Linked DNA regions of Macaca fascicularis. The protein of the gene in region 1 interacts with the protein of each later gene in a pairwise test. Links are inferred from orthologs where the notes say so. Each region holds a gene or a part of one and is shown on either strand. Other genes may lie near its edges.

Region 1 (3,373 bases):
TTATCACTCAATATGAGAACAGTTTAAGCCTACAGTATTTTAAACATCCTTTTAGTGCTGATAAGAATTTTAAGTATTTTGAACCCCTTAAGATGTAGATATTTATCTTTAGACTTAGACCTAAAGGTAAACATATTAAAAATGAAAACCATACCACTGCAGCTGCTTGAAGGTACTTCAGAGCTTCTCGCCCAGTCCAGTGCACCTATAAGCCTCACCAGTACACGTATAATAAAGAAATCATGACGCCTCAATGTCACATAACTAGTCAAGTACCAAGATCAAAAGTGGAGCTCAAGTCACCTACCTTCCCAGTGTGCTATCTTTTTATCACACCACAAAAGACCATGTGACATTTTAATTGGAAAACCTGAAAAATAAAGAATGTAAAATGTGACAAAATCTGGGGTAAATCAACTTCAATAGCCTTTAAAACACATGGTTAGCAAAAGTTATAGACATTTGTTTTTCTTTCTACAAAAGAGGCAAGACAAATCAAATGTAAAAGCTAGAGATTTATTGTTATTTTGTGATTAATAAATTGTCAAATTAGTTATGACACTATCCCACACTGAATACCACATTCGCCAGTACAGAAGTTTTTAAACCAGACTGAGGCATCAAGCAGAAAGAGCAAAGACACATGAATACCCTTCTCAACAATCTCTACTCATGCCTCCACCATAACCTTTGTACTTGTTTTCCTCCTGGGGAAAGTGTCAGAACAGTGCATGGACTGGTGGGTAACCTGGCCTCTTAACCTTTTTTAATAGCAAGCAACGTACAGAAGTAATGGAATCAACTTGTATTTCCCTTGATTTTATTGGTCTGAATTCATTTTAGGTTACTTTAACATTTTAATTTCCTGTAACTGTACATGAGAGAATATAATCACCTAAGAGAATACTGAACCAGAGTCAGCCAAATGTATTACTGACCCTAAACTCTGTTTTAATTGGTCCTAAAGGAATGTACCACCCCAACAGTTTGGGAGTTAGGCAAACAGAATTCTTTGGGGAGGGAAGAAAAAGGCTATAAAACAGCCAAATGTACTCAACATCATTAAAACGGCTCTTTGTTTTTCACCCCTGAATGATACTTCTTTACTATACTATATGCACAGAAATCCTAACAGAATCTTGGTTGCCAGTATTATTTAAGCTGGCCCCATCCAGGATAGATTCCACTGCCCGCCCCCCCCACCCCGTCCCCCTTTCTGAGGCTCTGAAAAGCACAATATTTAACTATTTCGTAACAGAACTACCAAAACACTCCAGAAACAATTGGCTCACAACTCATTTTAAATTCGTGTATTGCCTGTGCATGAGAAAACAGATAAACCCAAAAGAGAGTTCTATTTTTATATGGCGATTAAAAATAACTGAAACATTTAGACACTTTTTCAGTGAAAGCAACATTTCAATTACAAATTTTAATGCCTGTTAAACTACCTATGGGAGAAGCTGAAAAGTCCTAGGCAAATGCACTTTGGGGTATACTACAGTGTTCCTTCAGTCTGCACAAAGATTAAGGTAATTTACAGTCAATCTGTGAATGAATGTTGAGACAATGTTACATTATGTGTCTGTACAATTAATTGTCCTTAAAGAGATAACCAGAATCAGTTTTTCTACTATATTTTCAACAAACCTGTCTAACCGGCACTTTTGCTGGGAGATGTTTGTCAAAGATGCTGTAAGATTCTATACAATTAGGAAATACTCGGCTTTAAGAGTATTTTCTTATCTTCACTTTTTTGGTTACAGGTGTTTTGCTCAGATAGCCTATTGCAGTATGTTTCTAGAAATGCAGTCCCAAATGTGCATACTCTATATGTATACAAATAAAGCAAAATTATCAGTAGTATAAATCTTACAGCATTTTGTTTGCAAAAATGCATGCCAAAGTCACAATAAGCAATATTGTACCACAAATTAGAGTGCAAATGATTTGCTTCTTTTTAATGCTTTTATTCTACATAAATTACTACCATAGGCTAATGTTTAAAAAGCAAATAAATTGGACAGATGCAGGACAAAATCTGGTCACCCAACTATAAAAGGTGATGTTTTTAAAAAATTACAATAAATGCAGAAGTGATGCATGCAGTAGCCTTAAATGAAAAGCACTGATTCCCACTGTTCCAGAAAAGAAAAATACAGAAAAACCCACACATCTTACTGTACTCCACCTTAAAATGCATCATATTGGGTTTGTTTATAACAGCACAGAATTCCAAGAGTCAAAATGAAATAAAGCGGGTATTTTAAAGTTTAAGAGCCGTTATCAAAAATAAATTACATTTTTTCAAGATACAGAAATGCTGCTATGATGGCTGGGAGCCCAGTAACCTTTCAATAGCTGCATTGATATCACCTCCTGTGGCTATTAGAGCTTGCAAGTTTGCTTCACGGTTCAAAAATCCCATTGCACTGAGTTGTTCCAGTTGTTGCTGAAATCTGACTTCTGGATTCTGTAGCTATTAAAGAAAAAAAAAATTAATCCAACTCTAAAGGAAGCCAATCCATGCCACACCTGACTGACTTTTAAAATTTTTTAATTGCTTTTTTATAACATATGCTGATCTACTGAGCTTCAAAAACACTGCCCACCTCTTGAAACATATCCAACATATTTAAAAGTCCATTAGCACTTTATTTTAAATAGTCTAGTTTATACCTAATCACGTCAAATAGATCACGACTCTACTTTGGTGGGGAAGGGGGGGAAGCTTAATAAACATCAACCGTTATTTTAGAGGATCATGTACGTGCAGAAAAATTTGAACACATATATATATACAAATAGTTCAGAATTAGATGATTTGTATAGCTACTGACCAATTGAGTAACTTATAAAAGCCGGTATCCTCATGTATGAAATTCTAAAGTTTCAATGATTCTTTGAATGAATGTGAGTTTAACTTGCACACTGGACAGTCAATTCTTAGAAAAGAGTTTCAGTTTCAGGCCCAAAATTATACTCTTAATTCTGACAATTCAGCAGCATCAAATCTTTTCTTCAGAAATGAAGTTAAAAAAAAAAAAAAAAAAAAAAAACCCCACATAAATCACATAAATGACCAATCAATCCTAGGCCTACTTGGTAATTCGGAGGTAAGTTAACTTATGTAACAATTAATTCTAATACTCCAAATCCTTCTTTCTTATTTATTCCATGAATACTTACTGAGTACCTACCATGAGCCAGAAACTATACTACGCTGGCTTATCAGGAATACAGATATGTATATGACAGAACACTACTCTGTTTATTGTATTTAGTAAGGCCTGAAAACAGAAAGCAGGCCGGGCACAGTGGCTCACGCCTGTAATTCCAGCACTTTGGGAGGCGGCTAAGGCGGGTGGGATAG
Region 2 (4,076 bases), on another chromosome or scaffold:
TTTGGGAGAGTCAAAAGTTATATGGGGATTTTTGACTGTGCAGGGGTCGGTGTCCCTAGCCCCCACATTACTTAAGGGTTAAGTGTATTTATATAAGTATACATGTAATTTACAAATATAGATGTTTATACATTTATAATATCTAAAGGTAACAAAAGTCTGTCGATACACTGACACTTTTTTTCTGTACCCTGAGGGCAGACATTTCCTCTTCTTACTCTGTATTTTTGTGTAATTTGCAGTTTTTCTAAGAAGCATGCATTCATGCATTACTTGAATGCTTTTTTTTTTTTTCAGGGGATGAAAAGGGCCTTCCTAGAAAAAAGACAAAGACTACCAAGGATGTATGAAGGGAAGAAAGAACTGTGAGGAACTGCGGTACTAAGGATGGCCTGGTGAGCGTCAAATGATGTGTAGCTGGAGGCATGTAAGAGGAGACAGAGAACTCAGGGCCGCCCACCCCTAATCAGACCACCACCCATAGCCACACAATGTTTCTTTGTTGTTTCAATTACAGCGCATAGAATGTTTTAAAATAACACTTCTGATACCAAATTTTAAATATGGTATCATCTCAATGGTGCAAATAATGCATTAAAAATGGGCTGGCAGGAAATATGCCAACCTGCAGTTACTGCCTCTAGGAAGAACGAGTGGTAATAATCATCTTTTTGCTTCTTCATTCTTTTCCATTTTCTAGTTTTCTGTAACCATGTATTATCAGGGAAAAAAGCATACTTTTCAAAATGAATTCCATATTATAGGAGAAATAAAGCCAGTTATTTCCCCAAATAATCCCTGGCCAAGGAGGACCCTCGAGTCAAATAGATAGATATATAAAGGATTCTCTGTTACTGTTAAGACTTCCTTCGCCTAGCTGTGAGTTCCCCAATTCCTTGCTCCACACTTCAGGACCAGGACCCTGTGAGGACTGAGATGGAAACACGTGGATGGGAAGAAAGGGTATTTTCATTCTTTCTTGAGTTACGTTGATTCTCTTCCCTGCTTCTGAATGACTCTGAGGCCTCCTCGGCGCTACCGTCTTTATTTCCTACCATCTCTTCCTGTATATGCTCTTTGCTCTTGTTTTCATATTCCTTCCCTGGTTCGTTTCCCTTCTCCCCTCTCATCCCACTCCCCAAGCTCCTCCTCTTCCTTTCTTCAAGTCACCCATATTGGAGGCAGGAGGGATTTGCAGGATGGGAGGGGGAGAAGGTTGGGTAAATGAAAATATTCCAATTCTATAGTTGAACACTTCCAGGCTCAAGCTTTGGGTCATGACGATGGCTGTCCAGGGAAGGAAGCAAAAGAGAAGATAAAAAATAAGAAAAGCAACCCCTATTGCAAATGTTAATACATTTCCAGTGATTATCTCTTGGTCATGATGGGTGTCACAGTGTGAAAGACTCTCTGCTGTCACAGTCACTGACAACAGAAAAAAATCCCCCAAAGTCAGTGTCACAGGTTACTGTCCAGTGTGTCATTACCATCAGGATCGAATCCTAAAAACTAAGAAAAATTTTTTTAAAAATTAAGGAGCAATTTTCTTTTAAAGTATTCTTATAGGAAATCACGACATCTTTTTTCACAAGAACAGAGACAAAGAAAGCAGATTCACCTAAAGGCACAATACCTGCCAAAAAACCACTCCACTACTTGACCTCACTGGGGAGTTCCTCTTCGCAATTTCTTAGTTCACTGGGAACTTTGCCAGCACCAAGGCCAACAACATTCCTGAAGATGTCATTTCCACCTCAGCACACCCTCCCCTATTTACTGGCTCAGTAAACACCGGGCCCATGAACTAATGAACAAGTGAATGAATGAGAAGGCAGCAGCACTCTGCCGGGGTGCTTACCTCTTCTGGTTCATGGAGGCCACCTGGAGCCACTCGTTGGTGCTGGGGTTGTAGGAATGCGCAGCAGAGATCTCCTGGCTAGTGATCCTGTACCCGCCCACTATGAAGAGGTAGTTGTCCAGGATGGCAGACCCATAGCCCCTGACATTGACCAGGTCGGGAGGAAGGTTGTTGGCCAGCGGGAACCAACGCTCAGTCATCTCCTCGTACCTGAGCATGGACGGGGGCTCCCCCTGGTAGGGGTGAGGGGCCAGGGGTCCCCCCAGGAAGTCCCCGAGGGCCACGAGGACAGGAGTCCCAGTCATCCGGGCCTCCCTCAGCCTCTGCTTCAGGCTGACATCCCCTGGAGCTTGGGGAGGAGACCCCAGGAGGTGGAACTGGGGCTTGCACAGCACCTCGTGGAAGTGGACGACCATGAAGCGCAGGCAGGCCTCCTGCAGGTCGGGCAGCCCGTACACCTGCGCCAGGCGGTACATCTCCAGGCAGTTGTTGAGCCGCACCTGGGACAGCAGCAGCTGCAGCAGAGACGTGACCTGCAGGAAGGAGGCCGCCTCCACCAGCTCGGACAGCAGGCTCACCTCATCCATCTCCTCATCCTCGTCCACCCCGCCGCCCTTCTCCCCGCGCGGGCCCAGGAGCCAGCCTTCGCGGGCCCCGCCGGCGTTGATGAAGTCCAGCACCAGCCTCAGGCCCGGCGCGCTGAGGCCGCGCAGCTGCTGCACCTCCGGGCCGCCGGCCTCCTGGCTCAGGGCCTCGCGCATGCCGGAGCGGTAGAGGGCGCGGAAGTAGTCGCTTTGCTCGATGAGCTTCCTCTTGCTCACCGGGTAGCAGCGATCCTCCAGGCGGATCTGCACCATCTCCTCGGCCGACATGGCTGGGGGCCCCGGGACGGCGGCGCTCACCGCCAGATCTGCGCGCCGGCCTCCCCGCCCCCACGCGCGCGCCGGTTCCGGGCGGGGCGCCGAGGGATGGCGGCCCGGGAGGAGCGGCGAGGTGAGGGCGGCCCGCGCTCGCCCGGCCTCTCCAGCGGCCCCTCCTCCCGGGGCCCGCTCCCGCGAGGCGGCGGCTCTGCCCTTCTCCTTTTCCTCAGCGCCAAAAAAGGGCCGGCGGAGCGCGCCGGGCGTCCTCGCGCGGGCTCTCCCAGGCGGCGCCAGGCGGGAAGGGAATCCCTGCCCCCAGCCCGCAGCCTCCTCCCCTGCCGCCCTTCTCACTTCCGCCTGTGGGACCCCGGCCGCCGGCCTGACCTGCAGGCTGGATCCGGCCCTCGGGGAGGCCCGGGAGGCTGCGGGCCTGGGCGCCCCGGCTGCGGACGCGCAGCTGCGGGAGGCGGAGGGCGCGCGTCCCCGCAGCCTCTCCGCACGCCCGGGGCGCGCGGCTCCGCCGCCTGCCAGGGGCTGCAGCGATGCTCCGGGGTACCCCAGGGAGAAGAAATTAGTTTTCTCTCCCACGCTGCTTTACACGGGCTAAAGAAAAAGAAATGAACGTGGGAGGAAAGAGGAGGGAGTCTCTGGTCCAGGGAGACAAAAAGGCATCAAATCTAGGATCGTCCTTCTGGCCCAGTCCGGCATCGAGTGTCAGTGGGCTGAGGCAAGCAGGCAATCTGTGGACATGTTGGTGGCAATGTTGGTGGCACGTAGAGCTGATTCTCTGGTAGAGTCGTCGCGTAGGAGCCATCTTACAGGAGGTCCAGGCAGATGGCAGCAGGTTCTCAGAGGAATCGGGTTGGGAGGCAGGGGACCTTGCATTTGCCACTGGGGCCCTTTGTTCTCCCTAAGTTATTAAAAGAAAGATGAAAGCGCAGTTCGACTAAATAAAGTTACATCACGTGGCTTCTGGTTTTAAACCACGTTTTCTATGAGCCATTGCTTGTCTACTTCAGTCTGCTTGGACTAGCCATTACGGAATGTTATCCTGTCGCAAAAGATCTGACAAAATCAGCTCATAGATGTCTGCAAGAGGTAGCTTTTCTTGTCACCCCGTTTCTCCACCTACCCTGCCCCCATCATCTGAGGACTATTAAGAGAGATCACACGTTCAGTTTGGCTGAGCGCGATGGCTCACGCCTGTAATCCCAGCACTGGGGGAGGCCAGGGTGGGTAGATCACGAGGTCAGGAGTTCGAGACCAGCCTGGCCAACATGGTGAAACCCCGTCTTTACTAAAAATACAAAAATTAGCCGGGTGTGGTGGCACGCGCCTGTAATCCCAGCTATTCCGGA
Region 3 (3,214 bases), on another chromosome or scaffold:
CAGCATTAACATTAAAACGGAGTGCTTAAGGCCAGGTGCGGTGTCTCATGCCTGTAATTCCAGCACTTTGGGAAGTCAAGGTGGGTGGATCACTTGAGGTCTCAGGAGTTCAAGACCAGCCTGGTCAACATAGTGAAACCCTGTCTCTACTAAAAATACAAAAATTAGCTGGGCATGGTGGTGCACACCTGTAATCCCAGCTACTCGGGAGGCTGAGGCAGGATAATTTTTTGAACCCAGGAGGTAGAGGTTGCAGTGAGCCAAGATCGTGCCACTGCACTGCAGCCTTGGCAATAGAGCAAGACTCCATCTCAGAAAGCAAAAAACAAAAAACAAAAACGCAAATCCTCTCTTCTCTCAACATCCTCTCTACCATTTCTCTGGTGTACATAGAAAACTCTTTGGAAGAGCTAGTGTTTTGAGAGAAGACTTGGTTTTTTTGTTTTTGCATTTGAAGATCCTGAATTATCAAACATCAGAAAAGCACAAGCACAGAGAACTTGCTGAAAGGACTTTATTTGAGATGAGGAAACAAAGTTGATGACAAAGTATAGGGCATGAAACAGTTTCCTTCTAGGTCATAAAGCAAATTATGAATACATTTCTCTCTGTTCTCATCCCTCAGAGGCAGCAGAATCTGTTGCTAACACCCATGACAGTGCAGGTCCCATAGGAATATTCTGTTGAATAACAGGACCTTCTGCAATTGCAAGTGAAACTCCTTGTTGAGCCTGGGGACAGAGAGAGACAGAGCATCAGACATTGAGTACCAGGGTCAGCAGCGGGCAGTAAAGAGAATCTTCGGGAAGTTGCATGCTTGCTGACATGTAATGCTGGCTGCATTACAGCCAATAGCATGATCGCATGATCAATAGGAATAAATATGCAGAGCAGTGTTGGTCGCACACAGGATTAGAGACCCATTCTGATATGCTGCACTTATCTGCTCCTGCCCTGTCACACACACGTCTGAATGCACATGTATGACTGTCTCCAGCTACCAACGGTTCCTATAAAAGTCAGATTAAAAAACATTCCTTTAGCAGTTGGATGTGGTGGCTTACGCCTGTAATCCCAGCACTTTGGGAGGCCAAGGTGAGTGTATCACAACGTCAGGAGTTCAAGACTAGCCTGGCCAAGATGGTGAAACCCCATCTCTACTAAAAAAATTACAAAATTTAGTCAGGTGTGGTGGCTGGTGCCTATAATCCTAGCAACTTGGGAGGCTGAGGCAGATAATTGCTTGAACCCAGGAGGCGGAGGTTGCAGTGAGCTGAGATAGTGCCACTGCACTCCAGCCTGGGCGACAGAGTGAGACTCCATCAAACAAAACAAAACAAAACATTTCTTTAAAATTAGGCTCTCTTCCTTGAAGTAGAGACTCCTCAATACATTTCTACATAGCAAAAAATTAGAAAATTTCATAGACTTGTCATAGAATTAAAAAATCTTTAGAGAAAAGTCATTTCTTGAATATCACTGATTCTTTCTTTTCAGTACAAACATGAAGTAATTCAGGCCTGGGGAGGTGATCACCTAAGAGAAAGAGCCAGCCGTTGGGTCTAATTCTAGACGTGCTTGGTTTTCCTCTCTACACTCCTAGCTCTGCAATGCTGGTGTCTCTTACCCAAAGCTCTAATACGTGAGTTTGCATCCTCTGCAAAGGAGATGGTAAAGTCCTGGTTATCTTCCCCACGCTGCTCCTGGGCATCAGCCTCATAAGCGCTTGCCTGGAGTGGCTCATCCTCGGCTTGGAGTGGCTCAGCCTGGGCCTGGAGGGCCACCAGGAGAATAGCAGCAAGGAAGGTGAGGGTTCTCATGGCTAGGGTCACCTGGGGGAGAGAGAGCAGGAGCAGATGTGTGGGGAGTGAGGAGCCAGCCTGTATTTATAGGTCTGCTGGGAGAAGGCTCAGAGACAGATGCTGCAGTGAGTTGGGGGTGTGCATGTAATTGGGGAGCAGAAGAGCTACCCTTGCCCTCCAGGTCCCTTTGATGCTCCTTTGTTCTCCAATCTTCATTGAAGTGTGAGGCTATTCATTGAGTGTCTGTTCTGGTCCCAGCTGATAGTGGTGATAAGAACAGTGCTACACTTTCCTATTTTCCATCTGCTGGAATATTTACTTCTTAATATTCAAAAAAGAAAAGAACAGTGCTTTCATTGAATAAGTCCAGGAATCAAATGCCTTTTATTTTCTGAAGGTGTAGGTGGCCACTCTCTGGAGGTCTAGACCTTGAGGCCGGAGCTGGATTCCATTAGAGTAGAGGGCTAATTCATTTCAGGATTCAGAGGGGCATTTCTGCCCTCATGAAGGAGGCTTTGAGATTATGGGGTGAGTAGGCTCTTGTGGGTCACAGTGTGGAGAAGACAATGACCTTATCAGCTTATAGGGGAGATGAGCTCTGTGGGATACTAGGTAAAGAGTTAGTAAAACTAAAGCCAAGAGACAGATTTATTTCAAGAAACCATTGTGATCTGAACGTATCAAGTAAAATATGTACTAGGTATTTCTCTCCACTTTGAGAAATATCGAAACAATTGACATGCCCACAACCCCCCTCTGAAATTTTATTTTATTTTTTATTTTAGAAAACTTTAAATCACCCACAAGGAATATTCAAAGGGTAGAAGGAGTAATGAGCCTCTATCCCTGCCCCAGCCTTGCAGCTCTGCTCCAGAAAATCTCCACTTAAAAATTAAACACATTGGTTTGCACTTTGTTTTTTCCCCCTAATGCTGTAATTTGAATACTTTGTGGCTCAAAACACATAGAACTCTACCGTTGTTTTCATAGTCTCTTGTTTCTGGTCTTCTATTCAGATGTTTCATCCATTTTGAGTTAAGTTTTGTGTATGGCATAAGAGAAGGGTCCAGTTTTATTGTTTTGCCTGTGGAAATTGTATTCCCACCACCATTTATTGAAGAGACTCTCCTGTCCCCATTGTGTCTTCTTGATGCCCTTGTCAAAAATTACTTGACCATATGTGTTTGGATTTATTTCTGGACTCTCAATTTTATTTCACTGGTATGTGTCTGGTTTTATGCCAATATCATATTGTTTTGATTACTATAGCTTTGTAATATAATTTAAAACCAGGAATTGGGAGATCTTCAACTTTTTTTTTTTCCTCAGAATTGTTTTGGCTATTTGGGTTCTTTTACCATTTCATACAAATTTTAGTGTTTTTTTTGTTTTTTTTTTTTTTAAATTTCTCT
Region 4 (3,149 bases), on another chromosome or scaffold:
ACGCCGGCTGCCGGTCCGGGCCTGGGCCGACGTGCGCCGCGAGAGCCGCCTCTTCCAGCTGCTCGGCCGCCTCCCGCTCTTCGGCATGGGCCGCCTGGTCACGCGCAAGTCCTGGCTGTGGCAGCACGATGAGCCGTGCTACTGGCGCCTCACGCGGGTGCAGCCCGACTACACGGCGCAGGTGCGTGCACCCCGTCCGCACCCCGCCCCTGCAGCCGCCTGGTCTCCCCGCCTCCCCTCCTCCCTGCAGGTTTGCGTGTCTGAGGCTCCCACCTCCTGATCTCGGGGGCCGAGAGCCTTGCGAGCTGACCTCGCTTCCCTCTGGTTTTGCAGAACTTGGACCACGGGAGGGCCTGGGGCATCCTGACCTTCAAAGGTAAGGCTCGGGAGAGCTGGTGGAGAGCGGGTGCGCGGCAGTTCGATGCCGACCACCGACGGCACAGCAAATGTGTGTGCAGCACACCTCTTTTCCTTCATCAGGGAAGACGGAGAGCGAGGCGCGGGAGATGGAACACGTCATGTACCATGACTGGCGGCTGGTGCCCAAGCACGAGGAGGAGGCCTTCACCGCGTTCACGCCGGCGCCGGAGGACAGCCTGGCCTCCGTGCCGTACCCGCCGCTCCTCCGGGCCATGATTCTCGCAGAACGACAGAAAAATGGAGACACTAGCACCGAGGAGCCCATGCTGAATGTGCAGAGGACACGCATGGAACCCTGGGACTACCCTGCAAAACAGGAGGACAAAGGAAGGGCCAAGGGCACCCCCGTCTAGAATGCCAGAACCAGAGGGTGGCCTGAGGGGCTGTGAGGCAGCAGGGATCTTGTAGATGAAAGAAACCGTCTTCGCGTTACACCCGAGTCTGCCCCTCGGAGCTGGGAGGTCACCTTCCGCGACGTTTTCTGAGGATCTGCATTTTAGTGGGGAGGGCTGGGGCAAATCGCCACCTATGTTTTTCCTCTGGCCCTGCTGCCCCCACACCAACTCCGCAGGCTCACGCTGGGGAAAGCGGGAAGCGCTAACTCCCCTTCCCCCATTAGTGCTCTCTTTGCCTGGATCCCGGCAGAAGCTATGAAAGGGAATAAAGAGAAAAGAAGTACCCCGGGTTGCGGTGTCTGCGCGCTGTCTTTAGGACCGGGGAGAGAAGGGCTGATGTTGTGGTCTTGGCCCTGGCCGGGGGGCGGGGGCTCGGGCGGTGCGGAGCAGGGCGCCGCGTGGGTGGAACCACCTGGGCGGGTTGTGGGGGATACAGTTAGTGTCCGAGCCACTGGAGGAGACTTGGCCTCCGCAGCTGCCCTCTGGCCCCCCACGGCTGCTGGGTTCCGGGGTGCAAGTGAAGCAGCCTCCCTGAGTGCGTCCGCGGAGGCCGCCGCGCCGGGACCAGGCCTCTTTAAGCGCAGGCCCCGCCCCGGGCGCCACCGCCCCGCCCCGCGGAGCCCGCGCCCGCACCGCCATCATGATCTGCCTGGTGCTGACTATCTTCGCCAACCTCTTCCCCGCCGGTGAGCGGAGCGGAGCGGCGCGGGCGGGGGGTGGGCGGCCGGTGCTGGGCCGGTCTGACGCCACGTCCCCGCCTGCCCCGCAGCTTGCACCGGCGCACACGAGCGCACCTTCCTGGCCGTGAAGCCGGACGGCGTGCAGCGGCGGCTGGTGGGCGAGATCGTGCGGCGCTTCGAGAGGAAGGGCTTCAAGTTGGTGGCGCTGAAGCTGGTGCAGGTGGGGGCGCGGGGCGCGGTGGGCGAGCGGGGGCGCGGTGTGGGGGGAAGGGGGGCGGGGACCTGGGGACCTGGGGACGCCTGGGTGCCGGGTGCGGGCGCAGGCGGCCTGACCCTTCCGCAGGCCTCTGAGGAGCTGCTGCGCGAGCACTACGCCGAGCTGCGTGAACGCCCGTTCTACGGCCGCCTGGTCAAGTACATGGCCTCCGGGCCGGTGGTGGCCATGGTGAGTGCCCGGGAAGCGGGCGGACGGCCCCGGGACCCCACCCCTGCGTGATACCGCCCCCGTCCCCCGCACAGGTATGGCAGGGGCTGGACGTGGTGCGCACCTCGCGGGCGCTCATCGGGGCCACGAACCCGGCCGACGCCCCGCCCGGCACCATCCGCGGGGATTTCTGCATCGAGGTTGGCAAGTAAGGCTCGCCCCGGGGACGGGCCCAGCCCCGTCCGGCCTCCCCCAATTCGGCCCTCGTGGGACCCGTGCCGGAGCTCTCCTTCCCGCGCTCACGCGCGCCTCTTCCGTTCAGGAACTTGATTCACGGCAGCGACTCGGTGGAGAGTGCCCGCCGCGAGATCGCGCTGTGGTTCCGCGCAGACGAGCTCCTGTGCTGGGAGGACAGCGCCGGGCACTGGCTGTATGAGTAGCCCGGCAGGTGCGCCTCGCAGAGGCTCTGACACCCCAGCCTCCTCCAGGGGCCAGGTGGCCGGGCTTCTGGCCCCACCCCGCAGCGCTTGGAACATCCACCTGTCAGGACGTTGCATCGAAGGTGGCGGGGGCCTCTCCAATCCCTGGCGTACAGGGCTTCCTGCCCGAGGAGCTGCTCCAGGAGCCTGCGCGGCTCGCCTGGAAACGTGCCAGGACACTGTCCTGGTGCCCAGCCCAACATGGTCCAACGTTTCTTTTTATAATAAAGTGAAGTCCTCGTTTTCGTGTCGGTTTGGGTCCAGAAACAGACGTTTATTACATACAGAGCAGATATGTGGGTTTGCTTGCAGGGCCAAAGCCTGAGGAGAATCGTCACCCCTCCCCCAGCCGCACCACTGCTCAGCCCGGAGTCACTTCGAGATCCTGGGGGAACAGACGAGGGAGCAGACATACATCACAGTGGAGGTGGCAGGGATGGTGGGGAGAAGCCAGCAGCGCAGTGGCTGCAGCCCACGGTGGCCAGCGGGGCTTGTGGGGCAGCTCCCCAAGATCTGTGCTTCTCTGGTTGGGGGTGGGTGCGGGGGCTGGGCTGCCCTCATCAGGGCCTCCCAGACAGGAGTGCAGTGGGCCTGGAAGGTAGGAGTAGGCCAGCGAGGCCCGGCTGGACAGGGAGAGCAGTCCAGGGTGGCCTCTGCCCGCTACGGGCTTGGAGTCGGCTAGGGGCGGCTCCATCCTCAGCCCCATGGGCCTCTGCTTGGTGGCCTCTTGCTCCCGGGGAGCAGGCCACAG
Region 5 (4,164 bases), on another chromosome or scaffold:
GCATAAGGAGCATTAGTTGTGCACATTGTCCACACCCGTGACTTTTTCCCTCCGGTACTAAACCTAGTGCTTCTTACAGTACAGGGCAATGGCAGCCACAGAAAGGGAGAGAAGTTCTTTGTACTGTGTAATGCTTCCTGCTGGCCTTCAAATACTTGTTACTTGAGAGATCTCTATTCACCTGGCTTTGTCCCCAAAGGTCACCATCTACCAATGATGTTGTAACTTGATGTTAATCATGTATAAAGAAAGTAGCTACCATCCTGGCCCAGATTAGAACTTTCCACTGAAATGCCGTCCTGCCTAAAGGTAGCACGGGCTTCCATTATGGTGGTGGTGGGGGGGTGGAATATATATATATATATGGTAAAGCATTTGACATTCTTTTAAAGTACAACTATCCTTGAAAAGGGTTACATATTAAACCATTTTTACTGCAGCCAAAGAGGGGGAGAAAGATCCAGAAGGCCTGTGGATCTGCTTTAACATCAATAAAACAGCTATCCAGCCTTCCTAGCTTTTAGTGAAGGCTACAAAAGTATGTATTTTATGGATTCTACATGTGCACGCAAGTACTTTTTACTACAAAAAAAAAAAAAAAAAAAAAAAAAGGCTCCTTATTTAAAAAAAAAAATCAGAAACAAGTCCAACAGGCTCTGAGGAAATGAAGCAAGAGTGAATTCTGAAAAGGTCTAATAAACAGTATGGAAATATCCTTGTGGGGTGGTTCTTCTGCTATGCATAAACATGTAATTATCATCATTACTGTGATGGGAAAAACAGGGACCCTAATTCTGAAACACCCTGGTAAAGAGAGACGAGCGGGAGGGGCTGCTGCGCACTCAAAGGGGAGGCTGAGGAGGCGGCGTCCCCTTGCTAAGGACTGGCAGTGAGCAGACGGGGACACCCGAGCTGCCCTTCGACCTGGGCCCAGGTGCCTGCAAGACTGGGACCTCTGATAACCCTAACACCCCCTTTCTCACTGCTCTGATTGTGTACATGCCGGCGCCCAGGGGCCTGTGAGCAGGAGGTGCGCGTTCCAGGCACCTCCAGCGCCCCTTAAACCTGCCCGCGCGCACGTCCGGCCGAGGGAGCAGGACGAGTCACCCGAACCCTCGTCCAGCCCGCACCCACCTTCACCTAGCTCCGCCAGTCGCCACCTCCCTTCCAGCGTCCGCAGCCGGCCTAGCTGGGGAGCATGCGCAGTGGCCTGAGCTGGTTTTGCCCGCGCTCCCGGTAGGTAGCTGTACTTTAACTGTCGGCCCAAATCAACCAATCAAGAGACGTGTTATTGCCTCCGACGGGTACCTATGGCAACGTATGACCAATCAGAAGGCGCGTTATTGCCGCGGAGCCCCTCCCCCGGCGGGGGGGATGTGGCGATGGGTGAGGGTCATGGGGTGTGAGCATCCCTGAGCTGTGGATCCGGGAGGGCCGCGGCTTCGCTTGCCTTGCAGCCGCGAGCAGCGCACGCAGCCCCGCACTCGCCTACCCGGCCCCCGGCGGCGGCGCGGCCCATGCGGCTGGGGGCGGAGGCTGGGAGCGGGTGGCGGGCGCGGCGGCCCGGGCCCGGGCGGTGATTGGCCGCCTGCTGGCCGCGACTGAGGCCCCGGCGGCGGGCGGGGAGCGCAGGCGGAGCCCGCTGCTGCCGAGCAGAGAAGATGCTGCTGTCCCTGGTACTCCACACGTACTCCATGCGCTACCTGCTGCCCAGCGTCGTGCTCCTGGGCACGGCGCCCACCTACGTGCTGGCCTGGGGGGTCTGGCGGCTGCTCTCCGCCTTCCTGCCCGCCCGCTTCTACCAGGCGCTGGACGACCGGCTCTACTGCGTCTACCAGAGCATGGTGCTCTTCTTCTTCGAGAATTACACCGGGGTCCAGGTGAGCCGTCTACCGCTCCCAGGTCTCGGCGTCCACCCGAGCTCCCGGAGGCGTGGACCCCTCCGGTCCCCACCAGCTGGCGAGGGTCACCCGGCCGGCCCGGCGGACCCAGCACGTAGAGCACGTGCCGCCTCCCCGCCTTCCTCTCCGCGTGCTTCCTGCCGGTCTGCCGAGATCTCTCTCTAGGAAGCTGTGGCCGCGTCGTCCTGAGGCTACAAGTGGGACCCGCCGCCCCTTTCCCCGCCCCTCGCCTGGGTCCGATGCTACTTAGAAAAGTGGGTGCAGATGCACGTTTTAAATAGGGCACGCGTTTAGCAGTTTCTGGCCTTTGGTCCAAAGAGGTGGTCATGTTGGAACAGATCGGAGACGTCTACACTCCGAAGTGCGCTTTTACAATGACCTCTTGAAACAGAAGTACAATTCGGTCTTGTGTTCTTCCCCCAGGACAAGTGAAAGCTGGGCGAGGAAATAAATACATTTGTTACGGTAGAAACCTAACTAGATACAATTCTTGCCAACTTTAACTGGGTTTAAATGTGTGGGTGATCTGTTGTCTGATTACTTTCTGTTACTGTTTCTCTGTAGAGATTGGATTCGTAGATTAAACTTGAGAAACAAACCATAAAAGTAGAAGGCCCTCTTTAACAGTAGGTATTTGAAGTCTTATAAGAAATAACAAATGTGAATTTTTCTTTCATTTCTCAATTTGAAAGAACAGCTTTATTCTTGGTTATTCCTAATGTCCACTTAGTCCTCTTTTACTTTTCTTGGTAGGGTTAGGGTGGGATGGGGAAAATGGGACGGTATCATTTTGTCTTTTTAACTTTTTTTTCCCACCTGCAGCAGCTGTTTTTACCCTGTGGTCAGTCAGCTACTATATTTAGTTTGCAGTTGCACTGCTGATCGACCCTTGATGGTCCCAGTTGGAAGTTGTTTGGGGGGAAGGAATTAGGAGAGGCCAGGGCCTCCATTTAAACCAGTATCTGTAAATGTCTCCTTGGAAAGAAAAGAAGATACTATTCCAGATCATGGTTTCCTGGCAATTGACATTTAAAATGAGCCTCACTTAAAAATTTCAATAATTCAGGCTAATTTTTTCCCTTTGTATGGTAACTCCACCAAGTTTGTCTAAATGTCTGAGTTTTATCATGATTAAGTTTTTACTTTCACGTCATATGACAACTGGCCTGGGTTGGGATATAATCTCAGAACACAAAGTCATTCACTCTTAAAAAAATAATTCTATCTGTGGCGGGTTAGGTTATTTTTGTTCTAAGAGTACACAATATGATGCAGAATACACCATTGAAGGATTTTTTGGTTTGGCAAGTTCTTATGTTTTTAAATGGCTGTAAAACTTAGCAGTGTTTCTGAAATTACATACCTTACCTTATATACTGCTGACTTCAGAGCTCCAATTTACTTCTTGATTTCCCAGCAAGTGATTTTGAAAACATTTAATCTAATCATTTCCCCCCGCCCCATTCAAATCAAAGGAACTAGCGTCCAGCACTAATTTTCATGCACTTATGAAAGGATGCCTGACTTAAGTATAATTCAAAATTTTGTTTACTGTGTGTTCCTTGATGAAGTTCTTTAGGAATCCTAGAACTAACTGATTGCCCACTGATCCTCAAATGCAAGTTATGAACATTTAATACAAATTTAAAAGCAAGAGTTTCTTATTCCTGCATTTTTATTTTTATTGTTTGGAGGGGACAAATAATTATTTTCTGTTTACTAACAGAGAGCAGGGTATTTTGAATTTATTAGGGTCTTTTTCTGGAATCTGGGTTTCCTGTGTACACAAAGCTACCTTTCAATATTTTTGTTTGTTTCTTTTAAGATTAAACCAATAGAGGAATAAATAGCTATCTTCAAACATAAGACCCAAGGGAAAAAGATTTATAGTGACGTTCTGTCACCATATTTTTTACCTGTGACTTTGTACCATTAACTTTGTCACTGAGATGTTTTGATTAAAATTTTTAGCTTGCTTTTCTTGTTTTGTTAGGATACTCTTTTTTTCTTGAATTGTTTTTATCAGCTTTCGTTTGCAAGGCTAGTGATGATTCTCTTGTTCTGCATAAAGTATTGTTGACTCATTTCTGAAGGGAGTTTTAGTAATTTAAGAGGTTATAAGTTTTTAAATAAAAAGTTTATTAATTTATATATATTAAAGAGACATTTTAAAATAAAAATTTTTTTAATGACATTTTTATGCCTTTCAACTCTAGGTTTAAAAAATAAGTGGTTCATAGTAGTTCTTGCAGAAGAATATTTT
Region 6 (4,189 bases), on another chromosome or scaffold:
AACACTGATATGAGATTTCTCAAATTTTATTTTTTCATTTACAGAACTTGCAGTTGGATGTTTAGTACATGTTGTTTCTTTATAATAAAGCAGCAAATACTTCCCAAGATGTTTTGATTATGTTATATAGTGAAGTCATTGGCCAAATAATGTGTTGGCTTAATTTAAAACACGCATGTACACATACACGCCCACAAACTATGTCCTTAAAGTTGTGTCAAAAAACATGTGGTTTATTTCCTGAAGTGTCCATCTAATTTTGTTGTTGAAACACAGCAGCAGTTACATGACCATATATGACAAAGTGATTCTGTTATATGTCAATCATACTGAATTACCTTGTGGGGAGTCCTATCCACATATATTTTTCAGAAATAACTTGTTCTCAATCTGATAGCAAATCCAATGATCCATAAATAACCTCTAGAACACAGGTCTTCTCAGATTCCAGCCAGTTGACTAAACCAGTGAAGTTTCTTTTTGTGTAAATGTGCTAAACCAATAAAGCATTTTAAAATCTCTTTGCTCCATATTTCTTCTAATAATTTCTATTATGACTGTCTTGCAAAATGCAATTGTGGTTATACTTTTCATCAGCCCTCAAGAGTGCATAGTAAATAATAACAGATGCTACAGAGAGAACATAAGTTTTTTTAGCTAGTCTATTTCTGAACTTGTGAGTGTTCAGATTCAGTTTGTCTTATGTCTGTGTCTATTTTGGTATGGACCTGTGAAATCTTAAATCACTCATACTGTTTAGAAAAATCTTAAAATAACCACTATGTAAATCCCAATTCAAATAAACACAGATGATGTGCTGAATTCTTCCTACTTAAAAATCTCCATTCATTTTTTCTCCAGTGCCTTAAAATCTCACATAGGAATTGGTAAGAGGATTAGTTTTTATGTGCCTTACATTTAATATTGCTAACATTGAAAAAAACTATTTTAATATTTGTTATTTTGTTGTAAACAGAATGAATGTAAAAGGAGTTTATAAGTTTGTTCATATCTTTACCAGATCATGGTTTTGTGATAGATAAGCTAAGTTATATGTATACAATTTTCTGTTAGCTTAAACATCAATTATAGAAAATACCATTGTTCACAAGATCATACTGACGATTTTGTTTCCAGTTTTTTAGAGCCCAATAATGGCTTAGTTATGAAAACATTTTAGCATACATATATATTTATTTAAATGATTCACATTTACCAGAATACATAATTTATTGAAAGAAAAATCTTGAAAGGCATTTGAGAGGATACTTCCAAAGTATTTATTATAAATGCATGTTTACTATAAGTAATTTTATTCATAAAATAATGAGGTTCAAGTAAAAATACATTATGCACTCTTGTTTATATTATTTCAGGATTAATTTAGCTTTGGTAATCAATTTTCAACATTGGGATTTGAAATAATAATCTTAAAAACCTTATTGAACTTATTTTCTCTGAAGCCACAATACTTAAATAGTCTTAACATATGGATTATATGCTTATCTTTAAAATCATTATCTTGGAACTGCACTTTGCTGTAAAGTTGAAGCACAATACTCCTTGCAGTTGTTTACACCACAGCCTAACAAGTGCTACCCTTTGCTTATCTATTCTGCTTCAGTTTGAATGACATAGTTACTGCCTTTGAGTGAGACCCAAAGGATTTTTTTCCCAGGTAGCAGCCCTTTCAAGTAGTAAAGATGTTTCAACAGCTCTACTACTCTCTATAAGGTTTGATTTAAAATTGAATTTTCTGAAATCCAAATAATTAGAACATATTTTTCCCCTGACAGCTATCATCAATATCTCTCAAGTTAAAATGTCTTTTCTGTTGAAATCAGACTAGAGCATTGACACATGCAGGTAACTATATATAATTTAAGCAATTCAACTAGTTGGGAAACAGAGAAAAAGAAATACTTGTCCCAGACTTTAACAACATACTGAACATCCTCTTTAAATCAAATTATAGTAATAACAACAATTTACAAAGTTATTAATATTTTCATCATGTATTCAAAACTATCATTTCTCTGTAATTCATGGTCACAACCAAACTATAACCCCAGATAATATTTTGCCCTGGAAAAAGGAAGAATCCAGTGTTCAGGAAAATCCTAAGTTAATACCTTAGGACTAAAATTAGGAGATAATGATGTAAGCTCTTTCAAATATACAAGTTCAGAAAAGAATTTTATATGGTTAATTAATTCAGAGCTCTTGTGAGATGAATATCAAAGAAAAAAAAAAACTAGTTCCAAAATTGGTTGGCTTTGTGACTAACATGCTTAACAGCCTTTGAATCATTGGAAACCTACTGTTAAGAATATTAAACATATAAATTACGCCCCTGGCTTCGTATCTGGCTCTTAGTAGCAGAAATAATAAATTTTGGAAAGAAACAATGTATTGGGCTTGGTTAACTTTACACTAATCTGTGTATTCACACTAAAATCCTTAACTTTTTCACTCCTTTTAATATGATTATCTAAATAACATTCTGGTTGGTAAATATCCAACATCAAGTAGTATAAAGCATAGACCCGATCATGTATCTACACATATGTAGTGTCCTCACATCGGCTGATGAGCAGCAGGTTGCTATTCAGTTATCCTATCACATAAGCTTGCCAAACAGTCTTTTTCTCCTCAGCTAGGAATTAAAAGAAGAGCATGCATATTAGAACTTTCCAGTAAATCAAAGAGAAAAGCAGCCTTACCTCTTTTTGTTTATATGGCAGAGGAGCTCCACAGCATGTTCCTCCCCGTTCTCCGGGCGAGCTTCTCGGGCCGTTTCAGCACACGGACAGCTCCTCTGCTTATAGGGAGCTGCTGCGCCTGACTCCGCACTGCCACACTGACGTCACCGGGCTCAGCCACAAACCCCAGCACAAGCGAGCTTTTTCAAAGAACCGAGAGAAAATAATCACTTTATATTAAAAAAAAAAAAAAAAAAAAAAAAGAAAAGAAAGAAAGAAAGAAAAGAAAAAAAAAGTTGCATGCTTACGCCACCTGTCTTTTTGTGGCAAAAATTGCAGTTTTCCTTTTTCTTTAATCAAAACCTTTGAGACAGAATAAACTGCTCGGCACGATTTCTCTTACAAAGAAAGAAATGTGTGTCAGACAGACATAGCTAATTGCAAGACAATCTCATCTATGTTCTAGCATCTTGTTATAATAGTTTCTTGGGGTCACTGTTGTAATTGTTGTCGTCATTGTTATAAGAAAGTTTTACAGACAAGGATTATTTTTCCATCTTTGCCCACAAAGAAATTACATTACCATTTCCTGGTATACCCAAGATGAATGAAGGACACATTATAAATATGAAAGGCCATATTTCTTATCATGACCATAGCCATCATTCTTTCAAAATCATATTTTTTTGAATAAAACAGAGCGTTGTCTCTCTTTTATATGAGAGTCAACTTTAATAGCTTACATAGTTTTTTAAATGGGTATTTATAAGACTTCCAGCTTAGTAATTAATAGTTCTTTGTATCTCTCTTACTGTCTTTTACAATATCTGATCTCAGAAAGGGAAGCTCAGAAGTTGAGTGCTGATGAAAATACTTTCATCTACTAAAAAAAAAAAAAAAAAGTCTTTTCACTGTTTGGAAAAAATGTGACACATACGTAACTAGAATTCATTTGCAATCGAAAGGACATTGTACTATAAATATTTCCCTTCTCCTGTTGAATCAGATAAGTTGAATACCTTCCATGAATGTGAACAATCCAGGGAATAATACAGCAATTAACTCTCAATCTCTCAGATTTATAATTCATAATCATTGCTCTGCCTTGCCAGATAACCTGATTATATATTTCAATAATTTATATAAATATAAATTTTAAACTTTATTTTATTAAAGATATGAGTTTCTAAAAACTGTATATATTGACATATACTTTAAGAATGCAATAGAATCTTGCTATATAAGAGATCCCATGTGTTTCTGCTAAATGAACCATCAGCCACTGATTCAATAAATTGTAATACCTACTAGGTGCCAGATACATTGCTAAATGCACAATTGTTAACTAATACAAAAATGAGTGATTTTTTTTTTTGCCTTTGATGAGCCTTTCATTTAATGGGAATGATATGCAAATAAACACACAATTTTCATATAAATTGGAAAGCAGCAATAGAGAGGTTAGCTAGCAGTATTTGGGACCATTT
Region 7 (4,275 bases), on another chromosome or scaffold:
GCCCAAGCTGGCCTGTACCTTTCACGATTCACATCGTCGTTATCATTATCTTACTGCAAGTCTTTGCCTGAAGTCTTTTCATCCAAACCGCTTTCCACCCAGATCTCCTTTTCCAAATCAACCCTCGCCCCAAATCTGCAAAGAACTTCTCATTTCCAGGTCACTTCTCAGTAGAGGGGGAGGTTACAGAAACAGGCCCCCACCCAGCAGTTCTTTCCCTACCCTGCCTCTCCTCTTGCAAGAGGGCAGGGGTGGGAAACGTAGGGAGGGGCCGGGGCTCATACTGCAGTTTCCCCCTTGCTGCTGTGGCTGAGTCTGTGGTAGAAGCGGCGCCACGACTGCAGGGTCTTGCCCGACCAGATCCAGAAGCCAGTGGTGATGCCCACGATCATGGTCATCAAGTACTTGATCATGAAGACGGTGAAGTCGGGGCTCATGGGCGGGAAGTGGCCGGGCGGGCAGGGCACGGCATAGCTCTTGCACGTCTGCAGGAGCCAGGTGCGCTCCCAGTGCTCGCGGAAGGCCTGCTCGTAGAAGTAGCAGGCCAGCACGATGGTGGCGGGCACTGTGTAGAGCACGCTGAAGACGCCAATGCGCACCATGAGCTTCTCCAGCTTCTCGGTCTTGGTGCCGTCGTGTTTCATGATGGTGCGGATACGGAAGAGGGACACGAAGCCGGCCAGCAGGAAGGACGTGCCGATGAAGAGGTAGACGAACAGAGGCGCCAACACGAAGCCCCGCAGCGCGTCCACACTGGACAGGCCAACATAGCACACCCCGCTGAGCAGGTCCCCGTCTACCTGGCCCATGGCCAGGATAGTGATGGTCTTGACGGCGGGCACGGCCCACGCGGCCAAGTGGAAGTACTGCGAGTTGGCCTCGATGGCCTCGTGGCCCCACTTCATGCCGGCCGCCAGGAACCAAGTGAGAGACAGAATGACCCACCAGATGGAGCTGGCCATGCCGAAGAAGTAAAGCACCATAAAGAGGATGGTGCAGCCCTCCTTCTTGGTGCCCTGCGCCACCGTGCGGTAGCCATCGTCCGAGAAGCGCTCCACGCACACGGCGCGGTCCTCCAGAAGGAAGCCGGCCACGTGCGCCACGGCCACCATGAAGTAGCAGCCCGACAAGAAGATGATGGGCCGCTCTGGGTAGCTGAAGCGCCGCATGTCCACCAGGTAGGTGAGAACGGTAAAGAGCGTCGAGGCGCAGCACAGCACCGACCACACGCCCACCCAGAGGCGGGCGAAGCGCCTCTCCTCCTCCTTAAAGTACATCAGGCCGTTGGCACGGCCCGGTTCGCACGGGGCGCCGCAATCGCGCTCACCCAGGAAGCGGTAGCCCAGGTAGGGGGGCACCTTGAGCTGACGGGGGCATGAGAAGGGGAAGGCGGGACGCCCCCTGCCATCTGAGGCCCCCGGAGGCAGCGCGGTGAAGGGCAGGTCCGGCAGGTAGGGCGCAGTAGGGTAGGCAGTGGGGCCGCCGCCTGGACCTCCGGAGCCGTCTGACGTATTCTGGCCCACGCAGATCTCGCCCGCGCCGTGCACCGGGAAGTTCTCGCAGCGCAGCCGCTCGGGCCACTGGAAGCCGAACTTGTTCATGAGCGCCTCGCAGCCCTGGCGGGCGCGCTCGCACAGAGAACGACACGGCGGGATGGCCTGATCGAGCACGGTGCACACGGGCGCGTACATGGAGCATAGGAAGAAGCGGAGTTCGGGAGAACACTGCACCTTCACCAGCGGGTAGAACTGGTGCACCTCGAGGCCCGCGTCCTCTTGGTTCGTGTGGCCCAGCAAGTTGGGCAGGATGGTCTGGTTGTAGGCGATGTCCGTGCACAGCGGGATGGAGATGGGCTGGCAGAAGCCGTGGTCCGGCACGGAGATGCCCTTCTCTCCGTGGTACGGCTGCGCCCCGGCGCCCGCGGACAGCGCGCCCAGCAGCACCAGCATCAGGGCGCAGAGGCCCAGGGACAAGCGAGGGGCGGCCGCGCCGGGGTCCCGCATCGCCGACCACGAGTGCAGCGGTGCTCTCAGCCCGAGGAGTGCGACGAGGCGGTTGGGAGAGGCAAGGATGCGGGGAGGCGCCGCCGCGCCCGGCGCATGAGAGTCCTCACGGCGCCGGGGCCGGGCCGTGGGCGGCGTGGAGCAAAGGGCGCTGCCGCCTGGGTGCCCGCGCCGCGGGGGCGCCGCAGCCGCCGCCGCCCGGCACTCGCAGGGCCGCCGGGGGCCCAAAACTCGTCAGCCTGGGTTGGGGGCGCCGAGGAGGGCCGCCTTGCTCTCCCCGCGAGGACTTAACGGTGAGGCTCCCTCCGCCGCGAGGAGCAACAAGCGGCTCCGGGCACCCTTCAAAGTTTGCCCAAGTCTCTGGACCCCCGGCGCACGGCAGCGCGCACGGCCCCCGCTCCCGGTCGGGCCCCCTCCAGGAGAACCCCCTCCTGGAGAACCCCTGGCGCCGCCGCCCGCTCGCCCCAGCCGCCGCCTCCGCGGTGCTGCCCCGCCTCCTGGCCTCCAGGCTCCGCTCGCCGCCGCCTCCTTCGCCTCCTCCTCCACACCCCACTCCTTCTTCAACCCCAAAACCTCGGCCCCAAGTTTCAGCCAAACGGCCGGCTCTCGCTGAGTCCGATCTCGGCCCCAGAGTCGGGAGCGCGGCGAGTTCTTTTTGGAAATCCAGTCACACTGCGTCCGAAACCGCGAGGCGCTCGTGCCCGCGGCCTGGCCCTGGCCCCTCCAGCCCCGCGCAGCCCCAGCCGCAAGTCCTGGCGCCCGCCGCCGCCGCCCGCCGGGAGGGAGCGCCGACTAACGCCTCGGAGTCGCGCTGGTCGCCAGAAGAAGCGTCGGGCTCGCGGGGTTCCGGACCGGCCCGCCCCCTCCCCTCCCCCCATTCACAAACCACTCCGGGGGCGGCCCCAGGTCCCGGCGGCCCAATGGTAGCCTTTGTTTTTTCGGTGGCCGCCTTTGGATTGGGCGGAAGTCGGAAGGGGCGGGCGCGGGAGCGGCGGAGGCGGTGTCCGCGGCGCTCTGGGCGGATTCCTGAGGGGAGGGGCGGGGGACTGGGAGGGAAAAGTTCGGAAAAACTTTTACCCTGAATTCGCTCAGGGGGGAAAACGCGCAGAAAGGGAATTTGCTTCAAAGATTTGTTCCTTTTCCTGGTGCACTCAGATGCGCATTCCTGAGCAGGGGCTCCTTCGCCAGCAGCTTTTGCGGGGAGCGAGGACCGCGCAGCGCCCCTGCGGGGAGAGACGTGACCGGGAGTCGCGTTAGGACTGCAAAGACTGGCTCTGGCGGGGCTTTCGGGTCGCCGGGTCCTCAATGGGTGGTTTGGGACGGGGCGAGAAGGGGGTGCGCCTTGAGGATCGCTTCTTTCCCCCTGGACCCAAACAGTCCACGCGAGGCCACAGTCCCCGCTCCCCTCTCCCGAGTTGTAAAAAGGAGGAGGGGCCGCCTCAGGAGAAACCCGAGTCGGGCGGAGGGGGCCGAGTGACGGTGGGAGGAAGGGCCCAAAGCGGGGAGCGCGGGGAACCCGGGCTCAGGCCACCCCGCCCGCGCGCACGGCCTGGAGTCTGGGGAGCTGGGGTGGCTCTAGCGAGGTTTTAAGGAAACGAAGACGGCGTTGGGGAGACTGGTTCTAGAAGTAACCTGAGACCGAGCGCCCAGGAACACTCTGTACGACGCGCCGGGCGTCTCAGTGGCCCCGTGTGCTTTGGTTCTGCGGCGTGTGGCCTTTCGGGATCCCATCTTCGTTGCAGAAGCAACCATTAGATCCTCCATTTAGAATCTGCATAGAAATGCTTAAATGCGTCTTAGAAACCAGGCTAATTAAAGAGTTTTCAAAACACAAAGCGGGGTTATCCTCGTTCTCGGGTAGCGTTTTCTGATTGGCAAACGTTCTTTTGTTCTCGGTTAAATCTTCGTCCTGCGCCAGGCGCTAGGCGCTCGCGCGCGCTCTCTCTGGTTACTCCTGGAGGGTCAGAAGTCACCAGGGGGGCATCTCCCCTCTCTCCGGGCTGCCAGGAATATCAGGAATTCCCATGCAGGGAAGTGACATGTTGAGAAGGAAAGGAAAAAAATCAATCGACCTCTCCTCCTCCTCCTCCTCCTCCTCCTCCTCCTCCTCTTCCTCCTTCTTCTTCTCTCTCTCTGTCTCTCTCTCTCTCTCTCTCTCTCTCTCTCTCTCTCTCTCTCTCACACACACACACACACACACACACACACACACACACACACACACACACACACAGAGCAATCCTATGCTTTAAAAAACGTTATTCCGGGCCGA

What was found.
Region 2: the proteins of UBQLN1 (region 1) and KLHL42 interact in binary tests that used the Homo sapiens proteins (3 or more experiments, as listed by UniProt). The two-hybrid records come from large-scale screens. The link is inferred for Macaca fascicularis from reciprocal best matches to the Homo sapiens genes UBQLN1 and KLHL42.
Region 3: the proteins of UBQLN1 (region 1) and DEFA6 interact in binary tests that used the Homo sapiens proteins (3 or more experiments, as listed by UniProt). The two-hybrid records come from large-scale screens. The link is inferred for Macaca fascicularis from reciprocal best matches to the Homo sapiens genes UBQLN1 and DEFA6.
Region 4: the proteins of UBQLN1 (region 1) and NME3 interact in binary tests that used the Homo sapiens proteins (3 or more experiments, as listed by UniProt). The two-hybrid records come from large-scale screens. The link is inferred for Macaca fascicularis from reciprocal best matches to the Homo sapiens genes UBQLN1 and NME3.
Region 5: the proteins of UBQLN1 (region 1) and AGPAT5 interact in binary tests that used the Homo sapiens proteins (3 or more experiments, as listed by UniProt). The two-hybrid records come from large-scale screens. The link is inferred for Macaca fascicularis from reciprocal best matches to the Homo sapiens genes UBQLN1 and AGPAT5.
Region 6: the proteins of UBQLN1 (region 1) and SCG2 interact in binary tests that used the Homo sapiens proteins (3 or more experiments, as listed by UniProt). The two-hybrid records come from large-scale screens. The link is inferred for Macaca fascicularis from reciprocal best matches to the Homo sapiens genes UBQLN1 and SCG2.
Region 7: the proteins of UBQLN1 (region 1) and FZD7 interact in binary tests that used the Homo sapiens proteins (3 or more experiments, as listed by UniProt). The two-hybrid records come from large-scale screens. The link is inferred for Macaca fascicularis from reciprocal best matches to the Homo sapiens genes UBQLN1 and FZD7.

What each region holds. Positions count from the first base shown.
Region 1 is NC_088389.1:114,273,281-114,276,653, forward strand, and holds the end of UBQLN1 (ubiquilin-1), read right to left. Parts: intron 2,480-3,373; coding exon 2,327-2,479; 3' UTR 501-2,326; downstream 1-500. UniProt on the Homo sapiens protein: Plays an important role in the regulation of different protein degradation mechanisms and pathways including ubiquitin-proteasome system (UPS), autophagy and endoplasmic reticulum-associated protein degradation (ERAD) pathway.
Region 2 is NC_088385.1:30,523,537-30,527,612, reverse strand, and holds the start of KLHL42 (kelch-like protein 42), read right to left. Parts: upstream 2,801-4,076; 5' UTR 2,731-2,800; coding exon 1,859-2,730; intron 1,288-1,858; coding exon of another isoform or gene 1,242-1,287; exon of another isoform or gene 1-1,241. UniProt on the Homo sapiens protein: Substrate-specific adapter of a BCR (BTB-CUL3-RBX1) E3 ubiquitin-protein ligase complex required for mitotic progression and cytokinesis. The BCR(KLHL42) E3 ubiquitin ligase complex mediates the ubiquitination and subsequent degradation of KATNA1.
Region 3 is NC_088382.1:7,297,027-7,300,240, forward strand, and holds DEFA6 (defensin-6), read right to left. Parts: upstream 1,863-3,214; 5' UTR 1,821-1,862; coding exon 1,628-1,820; intron 732-1,627; coding exon 622-731; 3' UTR 501-621; downstream 1-500. UniProt on the Homo sapiens protein: Host-defense peptide that contributes to intestinal innate immunity and mediates homeostasis at mucosal surfaces by forming higher-order oligomers that capture bacteria and prevent microbial invasion of the epithelium.
Region 4 is NC_088394.1:2,535,351-2,538,499, reverse strand, and holds NME3 (nucleoside diphosphate kinase 3), read left to right. Parts: upstream 1-1,431; 5' UTR 1,432-1,455; coding exon 1,456-1,501; intron 1,502-1,584; coding exon 1,585-1,715; intron 1,716-1,838; coding exon 1,839-1,940; intron 1,941-2,014; coding exon 2,015-2,127; intron 2,128-2,241; coding exon 2,242-2,359; 3' UTR 2,360-2,649; downstream 2,650-3,149. Other genes in the region: MRPS34 (small ribosomal subunit protein mS34), read left to right, coding at 1-181, 334-376, 481-773. UniProt on the Homo sapiens protein: Catalyzes the phosphorylation of ribonucleosides and deoxyribonucleoside diphosphates, other than ATP, into the corresponding triphosphates with ATP as the major phosphate donor.
Region 5 is NC_088382.1:7,082,835-7,086,998, forward strand, and holds the start of AGPAT5 (1-acyl-sn-glycerol-3-phosphate acyltransferase epsilon), read left to right. Parts: upstream 1-1,364; 5' UTR 1,365-1,661; coding exon 1,662-1,880; intron 1,881-4,164. UniProt on the Homo sapiens protein: Converts 1-acyl-sn-glycerol-3-phosphate (lysophosphatidic acid or LPA) into 1,2-diacyl-sn-glycerol-3-phosphate (phosphatidic acid or PA) by incorporating an acyl moiety at the sn-2 position of the glycerol backbone.
Region 6 is NC_088386.1:119,541,411-119,545,599, forward strand, and holds the start of SCG2 (secretogranin-2), read right to left. Parts: upstream 2,801-4,189; 5' UTR 2,724-2,800; intron 1-2,723. UniProt on the Homo sapiens protein: Neuroendocrine protein of the granin family that regulates the biogenesis of secretory granules.
Region 7 is NC_088386.1:97,857,375-97,861,649, reverse strand, and holds the start of FZD7 (frizzled-7), read right to left. Parts: upstream 2,801-4,275; 5' UTR 2,004-2,800; coding exon 279-2,003; 3' UTR 1-278. UniProt on the Homo sapiens protein: Receptor for Wnt proteins.